4 linked regions of the Macaca fascicularis genome follow. The protein of the gene in region 4 interacts with the protein of the main gene of each other region in a biochemical or structural test. Links are inferred from orthologs where the notes say so. Each region holds a gene or a part of one and is shown on either strand. Other genes may lie near its edges.

The links. The genes of interacting proteins can lie anywhere in the genome.
Region 1: the proteins of JUP (region 4) and CDH1 form a complex in vitro, tested with the Homo sapiens proteins (2 studies listed by BioGRID). The link is inferred for Macaca fascicularis from reciprocal best matches to the Homo sapiens genes JUP and CDH1.
Region 2: the proteins of JUP (region 4) and DSG1 form a complex in vitro, tested with the Homo sapiens proteins (2 studies listed by BioGRID and IntAct). The link is inferred for Macaca fascicularis from reciprocal best matches to the Homo sapiens genes JUP and DSG1.
Region 3: the proteins of JUP (region 4) and CTNNA1 form a complex in vitro, tested with the Homo sapiens proteins (2 studies listed by BioGRID). The link is inferred for Macaca fascicularis from reciprocal best matches to the Homo sapiens genes JUP and CTNNA1.

Annotation. Positions count from the first base shown.
Region 1 is NC_088394.1:64,919,297-64,922,855, forward strand, and holds the end of CDH1 (cadherin-1), read left to right. Parts: intron 1-524; coding exon 525-734; 3' UTR 735-2,776; downstream 2,777-3,559.
Region 2 is NC_088392.1:58,532,221-58,536,023, reverse strand, and holds part of DSG1 (desmoglein-1), read left to right. Parts: intron 1-176; coding exon 177-452; intron 453-3,803. UniProt on the Homo sapiens protein: Component of intercellular desmosome junctions. Involved in the interaction of plaque proteins and intermediate filaments mediating cell-cell adhesion.
Region 3 is NC_088380.1:145,432,330-145,435,913, forward strand, and holds the end of CTNNA1 (catenin alpha-1), read left to right. Parts: intron 1-403; coding exon 404-538; intron 539-1,539; exon of another isoform or gene 1,540-1,599; coding exon 1,600-1,887; 3' UTR 1,888-2,801; downstream 2,802-3,584. UniProt on the Homo sapiens protein: Associates with the cytoplasmic domain of a variety of cadherins. The association of catenins to cadherins produces a complex which is linked to the actin filament network, and which seems to be of primary importance for cadherins cell-adhesion properties.
Region 4 is NC_088390.1:62,806,277-62,810,079, reverse strand, and holds part of JUP (junction plakoglobin), read left to right. Parts: intron 1-84; exon of another isoform or gene 85-192; intron 193-1,036; 5' UTR 1,037-1,044; coding exon 1,045-1,252; intron 1,253-3,230; coding exon 3,231-3,490; intron 3,491-3,696; coding exon 3,697-3,803. UniProt on the Homo sapiens protein: Common junctional plaque protein. The membrane-associated plaques are architectural elements in an important strategic position to influence the arrangement and function of both the cytoskeleton and the cells within the tissue.

The DNA.
Region 1 (3,559 bases), on a different chromosome or scaffold from region 4:
GCAGTGAGCCAAAATCACGCCATTGCACTCCAGCCTGGGTGACAAGAGTGAAACTCCGTCTCCAAAAAAAAAAGAAAAAGAAAACAATACAAGTCCTTCCTTAGTTCCCACACCCCCACTCCCCAGATTTAACTGTTAAGCATTTGGCATTCATCCTTCCAGCCCTTTCTGGGTGGAAATGCAGCCTGAATGCACCAGTATGCAAAGTTTCCAGCTCTGTCCATCCAGCTGGTGGTGTGGAAGCCCCACCCTGATTTGTGGGGACTCCATCCTGACTGGTTGGTGCTTGCATCTCTCCTGCCTACATATAACTTACCATTTTACTTTCTCTTTCCATCAACAGCGTATCCTGTGCATCTTTCCATGCCAGTGTGTATAAATGTACCTTGCTGGTATTCACTGCTCCGTGGTGTGCCAGTCTGGGTGCATTGTCATACCTTACATGTTGCGAGACTTCTTGCCCCGGGTGACAGGTGTGTCCTTCCTTTCACTAAAAGGTCCTGTTGTCCCCTTTTCTTCTTTAGAATCTGAAGGCAGCTGATAGTGACCCCACGGCCCCGCCTTATGATTCTCTGCTCGTGTTTGACTATGAAGGAAGCGGTTCCGAAGCTGCTAGTCTGAGCTCCCTGAACTCTTCAGAGTCAGACAAAGACCAGGACTATGATTACTTGAATGAATGGGGCAATCGCTTCAAGAAGCTGGCAGACATGTACGGAGGCGGCGAGGATGACTAGGGGACTCGAGAGAGGCGGACCCTAGACCTCTGTGCTGGGAAATGCAGAGATCATGTTGCTGGTGGTTTTTCAGCTCCCTTCCCTTGAGATGAGTTTCTGGGAAAAAAAGAGACTGGTCAGTGATGCAGTTAGTATAGCTTTATAGTCTTTCCACTTTATAGCTGTAATCGATGTGTGTTAGAAAAGTTTTGACTTATTCCTTGAAGGTTTTTTTTTCCCCACCACGCTTTACATGGTGGTGATGTCCACAAGATACCCAAATTTTAATATTACAGAAGAACAACTTTAGCATCAGAAGGTTCACCTAGCACCTTGCAGATTTTCTTAAGGAATTTTGTCTCACTTTTAAAAAAAAGGGGAGAAGTCAGCTACTCTAGTTCTGTTTTTCTGTGTATATAATTTTTTTTTAATGTGTATGCTCCTGCTCATTGCTACAATGGTTTGTCCCCCTGCCCCCCTTTTTTTTTTTTTTTTTTTTTTAAGACAGGGTCTCATTCTGTCGGCCAGGCTGGAGTGCAGTGGTGCAATCACAACTCACAGAAGCCTTGTCCTCCCAGGCTTAAGCAATCCTTGCACCTCAGCCTCCCAAGTAGCTGGGACCACAGGCATGTGCCACTATGCACGACTAATTTTTTAAATATTTGAGACAGGGTCTCCCTATGTTACCCAGGCTGGTCTTAAACTCTTGGGCTCAAGTGATCCTCCCATCTTGGCCTCCCAGAGTGTTGGGATTACAGGCATGAGACACTGCATCTGCCCAGCTCCCCAGCTCCCTGCCATTTTTTAAGAGACAGTTTCGCTCCGTCACACAGGCCTGGGATGCAGTGATGTGATCATAGCTCACTGTAACCTCGAACTCTGGGGCTCAAGCAATTCTCCCATCAGCCTCCTTTTTATTTTTTTGAACAGATGGGGTCTTGCTATATTGCCATGTTAGTCTTAAACTCCTGGCCTCAAGCAATCCTCCTGCCTTGGCCTCCCAAAGTGCTGGGATTGCGGGCATGAGCTGCTGTGCCCAGCCTCCATGTTTTAATATCTACTCTCACTCCTGAATTCAGTTGCTTTGCCCAAGATAGGAGTTCTTCGGTGCGGAAATTATTGGGCCCTTTTAGGGTAAGCAGCTCATGTCTTCGTCTGGCCACATCTTGACTAGGTATTGTCTACTCTGAAGACTTTTAATGGCTTCCCTCTTTCATCTCCTGAGTATGTAACTTGCAGTGGTCATCTATCCAGTGACTTGTTCTGAGTAAGTGTGTTCGTTAATGTTTATTTAGCTCTGAAACAAGAGTGACATACTCCAGGACTTAGAATAGTGCCTAAAATGCTGCAGCCAAAGACAGAGTGGAACTAGGAAAAGTGGGCTTGGAGATGGCAGGAGAGCTTCTCATTGAGCCTGGCAATTTAGCAAACTGATGCCGAGGATGATTGAGGTGGGTCTACCTCATCTCTGAAAATTCTGGAAGGAATGGAGGAGTCTCAACATGTGTTTCTGACACAGGATCTGTGGTTTGTACTCAAAGCCCAGAATCCCCAAGTGCCTGCTTTTGATGATGTCTACAGAAAATGCTGGCTGATCTGAACACATTTGTCCAATTCCAAATGTGCATAGAAAACTGAGAATATTCGAAATTCTAAACATTTTTCTTAGGAGCAACAAGAAAATGTGGCCCTAAAGGGGGTTAATCGAGGGGTGGGGGGGTGGAGAGGATCTTGATTTGGAGCTCTTTTTATTTAAATGTGAATTGCAACTTTTTGACAATCAAAGAAAAGACTTTTGTTGAAATAGCTTTACTGTTTCTCAAGTGTTTGGGAGAAAAAAATCAACCCTGCAATCACTTTTTGGAATTGTCTTGATTTTTCTAAAGTTCAAGCTGTATCGAATATAGTTCTGTGTAGAGAATGTCACTGTAGTTTTGAGTGTGTACGTGTGTGGGTGCTGATCATTGTATATTTTCTTTAGGGGTGGAAAAGGAAAACAAGCTGAGAAAAGTATTCTCAAAGATGCATTTTTATAAATTTTATTAAAGAATTTTGTTAAACCATTGTCGAACTTGTTTTATTTGATTCCACCACATTTCCAGGCAAGAGAGAAGATGGATGGATATAGCCTTAGTCAAAACATGGAGAAAGAGGCGGGGCACAGTGGCTCACGACTGTAATCTCAGCACTTCAGGAGGCCGAGGCGGGTGGATCACTTGAGCTCAGGAGTTTGAGACCAGCCTGGGCAACACAGTGAAACCTCGTCTCTACAAAAACACAAAAACTAGCTGGACGTGGTGGCACGTGCCTGTAGTCCCAGCTACTCCGGAGGCTGAGGCATGAGAATCACTTGAACCCGGGAGGCGGAGGTTGCAGTGAGCCGAGATTGCGCCACTGCACTCCAGCCTGGGAGACAGCAAGACTCCATCTCAAAAAAATTAAAAAAATTAAAAAGCTTAATGCTGAAGTGACTTCTCCAGAAGCTTCTATCATTCTACTGGACACAACATGGGAGAAACTACATTCACATGGTAACTTTATTTGAACAGTATCCATCCATGTGGCATGTGATGAAACCAATACAATTCCCATGTCCACGGGAGACTGTGGGCCCAGCTGAAGGACGAGACAGAGCAAAGTTTCAGACGACGTTCTCAGGGTCAACAAGTGAGTACAGGCCAGTGGTTCTCTGCTGGGGAAGAATGTGCCCCCTCCTCCCTGGGATATTTTGCAATTTCTGGAGTACTTAGGGAGGTGGTCCTGTCATCACATCAAAGCCAGGGATGCTGCTAAACATCCCTGCACAGGACAGTTCCCCACAACAAAGAATTATCCTGCACAAAATG
Region 2 (3,803 bases), on a different chromosome or scaffold from region 4:
TAATTTAATTGATTTTTAAAACCGAGTCAAAAACAAGGGATGATTTGGCAAGTGAGGAGAAATTATGGGAATAAAGACATTGAAATAAATATTGGTGTAAAAAATAATTCAGTATTGTCCAACCATTACTACACTAAATGTCTAAAATATTTCTTCCATTTTGAACGTTATTACAGATGCTCTTCAAAGAACTTGCACTGGTACAATTAATATTGACATTCAAAATGTTGATGGAGATGACAGGACTAATACACAGGCGAGCACTGAAGTTACCAATACTGGCAGAGAAGAAAGTACTTCTTCCACTAACTATGAAACCAGCACACTTTACTCTGAGACAGCAAGTTCTACTTTATACCCAAATGGAAGACAACCCCTATTGTTCGCAGACAATGTGCATTTCGGTCCTGCTGGCATTGGACTGCTCATCATGGGGTTCTTGGTCTTAGGATGTGAGTACTTTAGCAAATCCTATGTATATGTGTACCCCAAAAACTGGTGGGGGAAGAGATACATTTTCTGATTCTTTGATAAAACGTATTTTACAAACTCTCATTTTGTGCAATTATAAAGAAATTTCTACGCTTGGCACTGGGTTTATAAGGTGAAAAAAATTAAACTTCTTGACCCCTTACAGGACTGTGGAGGATAAAAACTTATTTGCAATAAGTCTCAATGTAATGGGGAAATGCCATGACAAGCAGGCTCAAATTGCTATTGCAGTGAAGAAGACAATCAGAAAAGGCTACAGAGGGGGCCGGGTGTGGTGGCTCACGCCCGTAATCCCAGAACTTTGAGAGGCCAAGGCGGGCAGATCACTTGAGGTCAGAAGTTCAAGACCAGCCTGGCCAACATGGTGAAACCCACGTCTCTACTAAAAATATAAAAATGAGCCAGGTATGGTGGCAGGTGCCTCTAATCCCAGCTACTCAAGAGGCTTAGGCAGGAGAATTGCTTGAACCCAGGAGGCAGGCATTCAGTCAAAAAAGAGGAAAGAAAGAAAGAAAAAGAAAGAAAGAAAGAAAAGAAAGAAAGAAAGAAAGAAAGAAAGAAAGAAAGAAAGAAAGAAAGAAAGAAAGACAGAAAGAAAGAAAGAAAGAAAGAAAGAGAGAAAGAAAGAGAGAAAGGGAGAGAGAGGAAGGAAGGAAGGAAAGAAAGAGAGAAAGAAAGAGAGAAAGGGAGAGAGAGGAAGGAAGGAAGGAAGGAAGGAAGGAAGGAAGGAAGGAAGGAAGGAAGGAAGGAAGGAAGGCAGGCAGGCAGGCAGGCAGGCAGGCAACAGGGAAAGAGTAAACTCTGAGTTGCGTTTTAAAAGATGAATAAGAGTTAGGCTGATGGACTAGAGAAAGGGAACACAATACAAGGGGAAAAAAACTATGTGCAAAAACCCAAAAGAATGAGAGTGCAAGGTACTGCAATGAAGAACTCCAATGTGCAAGAAATAAAATAAGTACATGACAGCATAGTGAAAGCTTAGACTAAAAGATAGGCAGGTCTCAAAGAGATTTTATTGATACTAACACTGCATAGTATTAATAAAAGGAGAGTCCCTAGGGTTAAACTCTGGTTTCTAAGCCGAATTGTCTGATTCTTCTGAAGGTCACCTAACCTTTCTGAGCCTTGTTTTTGTCATGTATGAAATAATACTTACCTTAAAACAATGCTTTGATGATGAAAAAGAAGTACCACACATGAAGCATTTAGCGTGTTCTATGGCCACTAGGGTAGCACTAGTCAAAGGTCTAGCCATAAAGGTAGACTACAGTGGATTCTCCAGGTGGTCTTTAACATTACCTTGAATGATGATAGAAATTAGAGCAAGATAAACCACATGGCACAGTCTTTGAGAAATGAGAACAGGACCTCTAAAGTAAGTAGGTTGTAGTCTGCACATTGCAATTAAATTAATGCAAACATTGTCATTTTCAAATGTGGAATCAAAATCTTAAGGTCAGAAGGTACCTCAGATATTTAAATCAAACGCACACACAAAATATAAAGTCAGAGCACTTACATACAAAATATTTTTTTTCTACTTTCATTTTTCTTTGCACATGAACAGCGACAGATATTTTTTGCTACATTTATTTGTGAACTGGGTTTTCTCTGATTTTAAACAACTCTTTTTTTTTTAAGTTTTCATCAATATTGGACTCATCTAAACAAGTCTGGTCATGATGATAACACAGCTTAAAGCTGGAGTTCTTTTTCCAAAATTTAAAACATATTTCCAAAAAATGAAATTTCTACATTGACAAATAAGAGTTTATTCTTATCGGTTCATAATTAATTGAAGTAATAACTAGGAAAATTTCTATGAAATGGAGAAAAGGGAAAGAGAGAAAGAAAAGAGCATTCTCATCAAAATGTACCAAGACAGGAAGAAGGCAAAAATGCGAGTGAAGTTGCAGAATATAACATAAAATACATATGAAACGAGTTCATTCTCTATTTGTTATGCATATTGATTACAACTTACCTTGTAAAATATTTAAATTTAATACTTCATAAGAGCAACTTAATTACCCAACTGCTGATTATCACTACTGTAAATAATACCTGACTTTCATGTTGAGATTTTTGTTTTTTGGGTTTTTTTTTTGTTTTTTGTTTTTTGTTTTTTGAGATTGAGTCTCGCTCTGTTGCCCAGGCTGGAGTGCAGTGGTGCAATCTCAGCTCACTGTAACCTTCGCCTCCCAGGTTCAAGCGATTCTCCTGCCTCAGACTCCTGAGTAGCTGAGACTACCCGCGCGCACCACCACACCCCGTTAATTTTTGTATTTTCATTAGAGACAGGGTTTCACCATATTGGCTGGGATGGTCTCGATCTCCTGACCTCGTGATCCACCTGCTTTGGCCTCTCATGGTACTGGGATTACAGGCATGAGCCACCGCGGCCGGCCTGAGTTGGTTTTTTATATTGCTGACTACCTCTGGGTACTGTAGTTAATAAAAAGATTTACAAATTATATATGGGCCTTAGAGTCATCACTACCTGTAGACCCAAAGTTTCCTCTAGTAGATTTTCAGAAAACCAACACATGGGCTTCTTCTCTTTTTTTCTTTTTTCTTCTCTCCCTCTCTCCCTTATTTCTATCCTTACTATCTTCCTTCCTCCCTAATTTACTTCCTTCTTTTTTCCTTTCCTTCTTCTTCACATTTTTAATTTACAAATTCTTTCTTTCATCCATTTATTCAAAACCATTTACCAAGATTAGATTATATAAGAGGCTGATAATAAATAGAAAAATAAGAAAACTCCACTTGATTAACAACAGAAGACACTGCTAAGCAGCGTGATGTTTTCTATTTGTATAAGAGTTGTTGAAAGAAAAGACACCTGCATAGGGGGAAATAGTAGCCTCAAGGAGAATTGCTGGAAGCATGAATAAGATTTTACCATTGAAATAAAGGCAAGCATATGTAAAAGGAAGAAAATAAAGACATGGAGGAGAGAACACAAAGGATCAACTATATTGCCTGACCTTTCATCTTTCCTTCTTCTCTCCTTTAATATTTTTCTAAATAATGACATAGAAAGATTAATTGGTTTTAATAATGTAATACTATCTGTAATTTTTTTTTTTTTTTTTTGAGAGAGGGTCTCACTCTGTCACTCAGGCTGGAGTGCAGTGGCACAACCACCGCACACCTCCCTGGTTGAGCAGCCTCAACCTCCCTGGCTCAAGCCATCCTCCCAACTCAGCCTCCGGAGTAGCTAAGATTACAGGCAAAAGCCCCCATGCATGCCTAATTTTTGTATTTTTTGTAGAGATGGAGTTCCACCATGTTGCTCAGGCTTGTCT
Region 3 (3,584 bases), on a different chromosome or scaffold from region 4:
TTTTCTCCATAGCCAGGCTCCTACTTGCTGAGCCGGCTTGTTCTCACCTTGAGGGGCACAGGCCTCCACCCTGCCATGTGGGGTGAGGGGATCCTTGGCCAGAGTGGTTTCCCTGCTGTCACAGAAGGGAAGTCAGCGGGAGGCTCAGAAGGCCTTGGCTGTACAACCAGTGCCGTGCGGCACAGCCAGGGTCCCATGAACGACTTCCATCAGATCACCTGCCTCCATCCCCAAGCAGAGTGTAGGCAAGGGCTGTGACTGCCTCAGGTAATTGGGTGATTTTGCTCCAGCAAGAGGACAGGAAGCATGTGAGTGCCACCCTGAACCTTTAAGAAACACCCATGGGGTGGGAGGTGCTTGGTCCAGGCCAGGGTGCTCGGTGCTAAGCGTGCTCTCCCTTCAGTGCCCGGACTCGGCTTGCAAGCAGGACCTGCTGGCCTACCTGCAACGCATCGCCCTCTACTGCCACCAGCTCAACATCTGCAGCAAGGTCAAGGCCGAGGTGCAGAATCTCGGCGGGGAGCTCGTTGTCTCTGGGGTAAGCATTAGCTGAGAAAAAAGAGGGCCAGTGGGAACGTGCTGACCCTTGTCAGAAATGAAAGTCACTTCCTATCCACATACACACCTGCCCTGGGAAAGTGTGCTGAGCAGAAACCCCAAGTCCTGTCCCAGCCTCCGGAGACCAAGGTCTGTCCATCATCTGTTCCCTGTAGAACTGTGACACGTGTGGGCCACTGCAAGGGCTGAAAGGCTGGCCTCCTCCCCTTTGCTGGCCACTCACTGGGAACAAATTTTTAAAAATCTTCCTTGGGACCGGGCGTGGTGGCAGGTGCTTGTAAGTCCCAGCTACTTGGGAGGCTGAGACACAAGAATTGCTTAAGCCTGGGAGACAGAGGTTGCAGTGAGCCGAGATGGCACCACTGCACTCCAGTCTGGGTGACAGGGCAAGACTCTGTCTCAAAATAAAACAAAACTTCCTTTTCTTCCCCCAGAGAGGAATTAAGAGTAGACATAGATAGGATGCTTTCTCGAAAGCCCTTCACCCCTCAGAGCGCTTGGGTAGCATCTCTTTTATCAGGTCACAGTTCTGAGGCCTTTCTCACCTAGGGCAGGGGAAAGAGGTTTGCTGAGTGGACTGGGGTCCAGCGAGCCTCCGTGGCTTCTTTTAATCCCATTAAATTTCCTTTAAAAGAAACACTTCTTATATTGAACATATTGAGACCATTTGCTCATCTGCTTTGCCATAAACGTCCCTGTCTCGATTCCTGCTTCTCCTCCCCCACGTACTTATAGCTCTGGGATCACTCACAGTGGCTTCCGCTTTGAGTGAATAAACACTTGCTGGGGGGTGGGGGCGAGCAAAGCAAGGCTGCCTCATGTCTTCTTCAAAGGGTCTGAGGGCAGGCGCTTCCAGGCTATTTAGGTAAGAGCAACTGTTGAGGGTGTTCCTCAGCAACAGGCTGCTGCCCAATCCTCTGCCACCTGCCCAGGCCCTGGTCTTGCAGAGGAGTAGGGGGCCCCCCTTCAGGCACAGCCCACCTGTGTCCACGATGCTGGAGGTCAGGCCTGTGCTTCTCACCACCCTTGTCTGCCTTGTAGGTGGACAGCGCCATGTCCCTGATCCAGGCAGCCAAGAACTTGATGAATGCTGTGGTGCAGACAGTGAAAGCATCCTACGTCGCCTCTACCAAATACCAAAAGTCGCAGGGTATGGCTTCCCTCAACCTTCCTGCTGTGTCATGGAAGATGAAGGCACCAGAGAAAAAGCCCTTGGTGAAGAGAGAGAAACAGGATGAGACGCAGACCAAGATTAAACGGGCATCTCAGAAGAAGCATGTGAACCCGGTGCAGGCCCTCAGCGAGTTCAAAGCCATGGACAGTATCTAAGTCTGCCCAGGCCAGCTGCCCCCACCCCTCAGGGCTCCTGAAGATCAGTCACTGTTTGTCACTCAAATGAATTTGCTAAATACTACACTGATGTCAGATTCCACAGGGAAATGGGCAGACTGTGAACCAGTCCAGGTGGTGAATTTTCCAAGAACATAGTTTAAGTTGATTAAAAATGCTTTTAGAATGCAGGAGCCTACTTCTAGCTGTATTTTTTTATATGCTTAAATAAAAGTAAAAATTCCATAACCAAAGAGAATCCCACATTAGCTTGTTAGTAATGCTTTGAGCAAGCCGAGATGCCCATTCTCTTAGTGAGGGCGGCATTAGGGTTTAAGAGAAGGGAATTTGGCTCAACCTCAGTTGAGAGGGTGCAGTCCAGACAGCTTGACTGCTTTTAAATGACCAAAGATGACCTGTGGTAAGCAACCTGGGCATCTCAGGAAGCAGTCCCTGGAGAAGGAATGTTCTCAGAAAGGTCTTTAGAGGAACAAACTCAGTAAAACGTAATGTTTCATGAAGAAAACTGATTACTCTCTTTATGACATGAAATGAGAATTTAAATGCATGGTTACAATTACTAATGTACGCTGCTGCAGGTCATTAATAAAGTTGCTTTTTTTAGGCTACAGTGTCGTAATCAGAACACACTTTTCTCTTTCTTCCAGCTTCAAATGCAAATTCATCACTGGGCTCACTTCTAACAATTGCAGTGTTTCCCACCTTGGGCTTGCAGCAGAAAAACCTGACAAAATAGTGTGTGCTAAGGCAGTAATTTAGACTTTACCTTATTTGTGATTACTATAGTGATTACTGTAACTACAAGGCATAACTTACCATCTTATATAAATTTTACAAATTTTGAATGTTTTTTACACTAACTTTTCCCAATAAAGTCCACTATGAAACCACAACATCCAAGAGGCCAAAGTCGTCATCTCTTCCTTCAAGTGCTCACAGCATCTGTGGTGCTCTGGGCCCTCCCGGTGTCCCTCTCTTCCAGGATGGGGATGCCCGGAAGGGAGGCTGTGGCTCTAGGCTGCACGGCTCATGCCAGCCCATCAGGGAGGGCCATGCCCCTTGTCCTATTGAGTGCCCCACCCTGCACCCCCACCTTGGGAGTTGACATGTCCATTCCTTGAGGTTCATGTCAACCTCGGAGGCATCCCGTCTTCATTATGAATGTCCCCTCTCCTGTGTCCTTCCTGTCAGCACACACACACCTATGATGATAGCGGCCTTCGAGATGAAAACCCCTGAACCCCATGATCCTTTCTCACTTCCAACCGGCTGTCGCCTTGCTCCCTCCACCTCCCCTCGTCAGGGCGACTGCCTTCCACTGCCAGTGACACTGGCAATGGTCTTCAGACCTCATCATGCAAGCTGCCTGGGGGCGTGGCGGGGAGGAGGAGGAGGACAAGGACTCCTGAATGCTGCTAACTCGGCTTCCAGGACACCCCACTCAGGTTCTGCCTGCCTTACTGGGGGCTCCTCCTTTCCTGGGGCTGAGAGGTTGTGTCTGTGCCCACCCTCCTGAGCTCAGGCAGAATCTCACATGTAAAGACATACAAATGCCGACTTCTCCCCAGAGCCTGCCTTTTATAACTGACTGCCGCCTCATGCTCCATTCGGATGTCTAATGAATCTCAGACTTGACCTGTCCAAACTGCTTGCCACCTACTCCCCACCGCCCATCC
Region 4 (3,803 bases):
CCCAGGACAGTGGAGCCAAACATAGACCAAGTGGGAAGTTCACCTCCCTGGTACAAAGTACGGCCCTGCTACTCATTAACCTTCAGGTGCACCTAAACCTCTGCAGAGAGAGAGAGGGGTTCCTGACGGCAGTGACCACCCACAGGCCTGCCCCACCTCAGATCCCTAGCCTGGGCTCGAGGAGACCAGGAGGTGAGGAAGCACTTCCGGAGGAGAGGCGGTGCTGATGGTAATGGTCGTGGCCTCTGAACACCGGCTATGCACCAGATCCTCGCAACCACCTCTGAGGGAGGTCGTGTGACCCCGCTTTATAGATGAGGACTGAGGTTCTGCGGGGAGGTGAACTGCCCCAGTAGTGAGTAGCTGAGATTTGAACCGCTCTGTGGGACTCAGAGAGGCTTCTAGGTGCTGGGAGGGCTGGGAGAGAAGGGGCCTTGGGGCCTCAGCCTCAGGGCCACGAGTGATCCTGCCCAATCTGTAGGAAAGCCAGATCCTGGAGTCTCTGAGGGAGCCTGGGGCGTTCCAGAGAAACCTGTCAGACCGCTTCCCTGCCCCACCCAGTTTCCTGCCCAATGACTGGGGTGCCTCCTCCCTGCAGCCTTTCCCAGGGAGCCCCAGTGGTTGAGGGTGGGCCCAGGGGACCTCAGAAGCTGCTAGAGGTCCTGGATGCCTTCTCTTGGCCCTGAGACAGTTGGGTCAGGGCAGCAAGGTGAGTGAACAGGGGCTTCTGGCGGCAGCTGGCCCTTTACTGCCCTGCCCCCTGGGGCTCATCCCCCTAAGAGGTCAGAGATGCAAGCCCAGGACACACACACAGCTGCACCCCTGGGGCTCACTGCTCCCAGGATATTTCATGGGCAGCACCTCCCTGGGCCTGTTACCCTTCTGGGCACCCACTCATCCCCAGCCTGCATCCTCATTGAAACCCCTGGGGCCATGGTGATTACATGGCAAGACAGGCAGGACTTGGGGATGGGCTGAAGCTGGGGGCTCGGCCAGGTGACTTCCTGCTTCCTGACTTCCTCCTTTGTGCCCCCAGTAGCCACAATGGAGGTGATGAACCTGATGGAGCAGCCTATCAAGGTGACTGAGTGGCAGCAGACGTACACCTACGACTCGGGTATCCATTCGGGCGCCAACACCTGCGTGCCCTCCATCAGCAGCAAGGGCATCATGGAGGAGGATGAGGCCTGCGGGCGCCAGTACACGCTCAAGAAGACCACCACCTACACCCAGGGGGTGCCCCCCAGCCAAGGTCAGGACCCCTTGGAACTATTCCATGGGGTAGAAAACCTGCCTGGGTCCTGGAGAGAGGTCAGAGTGAAAGGAGGCGGATTCTAGGGGGTCCCTGGTCTGAGGGAGGAGGCACAGCTCATACTAACAGGGGGCCCACCCAGTCTGAAGGAGGAGGTGCAACTACTTCAGGGTGCTGTATCTGGGAGGGTCACAAAATCCTCTTCTGTGAAGAGGGAAGGTAGGGAGGGAAGGCATAGTCCCTGCCCTCAGGGTGCCTCCAGTCTGAAGGAAGAGGCACAGTCCTTGTCTTCTGTGAATGTAAGAATCTGATGAGGACGTTGGGCGCGGTGGCTTACGCCTGTAATCCCAGCACTTTGGGAGACTGAGGTGGGTGGATCACCTGAGGTCAGGAGTTCGAGACCAGCCTGGCCAACATGATGAAACCCCGTCTCTACTAAAAATAAAAAATTAGCCGGGTGTGGTGGCATGCACCTGTAGTCCCAGCTACTAGGGAGGCTGAGGCAGGAGAATTGTTTGAACCCAGGAGGCAGAGGTTGGAGTGAGCTGAGATTGTGCCACTGCACTCCAGCCTGGGTGACAGAGTGAGACTCCGTCTCAAATCATAATAATAATAAAAAAATAAGAATCTGATGAGGAGGCATCACTATGGCTCTCAGGAAGCCCATGGATGGCAGGGAGGACACAGCCCTTTGGCTCTAGGAGCCTCACATTTGATGGGAGAGCCAGGGCCCTAGCCTCCAGGAACCCCCCAGGGATTCTCCTTTGGGTAGAGGAGGTGTAGGTCTCAAGCCTGAGGGCCCCTCGTTGGGAGGGAGACCAGGCCTCTGCTGCTGACATGCAGATAGGCCGAGGCTGTGGGACGAGTGACTGACTCAGCTCTAGGGCTTAGTCCTGGCTGGGGGTGCCCCGCCAGCCCAAGCCTCCCCTGCCCCTCTGGGGGAGAGGAGTAGCCAGGCCCTAGAACTGTTGACCACAGGTGCCTCCGGGGCCCTGAACATGCCATGAGGTGGGCTGTAGGCTCTGAGAGTAGTGAGGGTGGACTGTAGCTGGTGGGGCTCTGCGGAGTCAGCCCCTGCACACCAGTCTCCTCCCTGACAGCTGGTAGGGGGAGTACGGGGCCTCTTGGCTGGGCAGGGCCAGGCACTGTGTTGGTAGCAAAAAGTACAGCATCCAGGTGGGAAAGCCATGCAGCTGTCTCCTCCTTCCCAACTAATTAGAGGGTGGAACCTCTGCGTCCCTCTCCCTGGGGGCATCAGGACAGTTGCCAGGGTGTGGCTGCTTGGGCATCTACCTGTGGGACTCCCAGACCCACCCAGGGGGAGGAAGGAAGTTAGAGAGGAACCTGACGTCTCAGCTGAGGACCCAGCTCCTGGCTCCCTGAACCCACAGCCCTGACTTTCCCTCTGATCTGCTGTGAGATGTGATGTTGGTGGCTCTCTGGGCCTCTGTTTGCCTGCCTGTATAGTGGGAGGATTGCCGCTGTTGGGGATGATGAGGGTGTAATTAGACTCCTGAGATTTCAGGGTTGAAAGGAGACCTGATGGGTAAGGGAGGAGAATGGAATAGGGGTTTGGGCCCCTGAGTCAGGCTGCCTTATAACCCCTCTGTGCCCAGTTTTCCCATCTGTAAAGAGGAGCCAATGATAGTACTTACCTTGCAGGGTCATTGTCAGATTATATGAGAAAATAGCAGGGCACTGAATTCACTGCCAGGCACATAATAAGTGTGCCAAAAAAAAAAAAATTCCCATGATGGACATAACATGTGGGGCCCATTTTACAGATGAGGTTACTGAGGTGATGGTGACTTCCCCAAGGTCCCTGGGGAGAGGTAGAATGGCCAGTCATGCGCTGCGGCTTTGGGCAGGGTGAAAGGTAGCCCAGAGGGCCGAGGTGGGGCTGTGTGCAGCCTGCCCTGCTCCCCAGTGTCTGCCCAGCCCACTGCCCGCACTCAGTCCCTGTCCCCATGGCCCCCAGGTGACCTGGAGTACCAGATGTCCACAACAGCCAGAGCCAAACGGGTGCGGGAGGCCATGTGCCCTGGCGTGTCAGGCGAGGACAGCTCGCTGCTGCTGGCCACGCAGGTGGAGGGGCAGGCCACCAACCTGCAGCGACTGGCCGAGCCATCCCAGCTGCTCAAGTCGGCCATTGTGCATCTCATCAACTACCAGGACGACGCCGAGCTGGCCACTCGAGCCCTGCCCGAGCTCACCAAGCTGCTCAACGACGAGGACCCGGTCTGTGAGGGTCCCGGCTAGGGTGGGGGCTGAGCAGGGAGGGGAGAGAGCAGATGTCCTCAGGGGAGGGACATTGTAGGGGAGGAGGAAGGTTATGACCCGGACTCCCCTGTATGTGACGAGTCTGGGGCCCTCCTCAGCTCTGTGGAAGGGTGTCCCGGCCCCTCCTTAGTGCTCACGTCCCCGCACCTGCCTTTGCCCTCCAGGTGGTGGTGACTAAGGCGGCCATGATTGTGAACCAGCTATCAAAGAAGGAGGCGTCGCGGCGGGCCCTGATGGGCTCACCCCAGCTGGTGGCCGCTGTCGTGCGCAC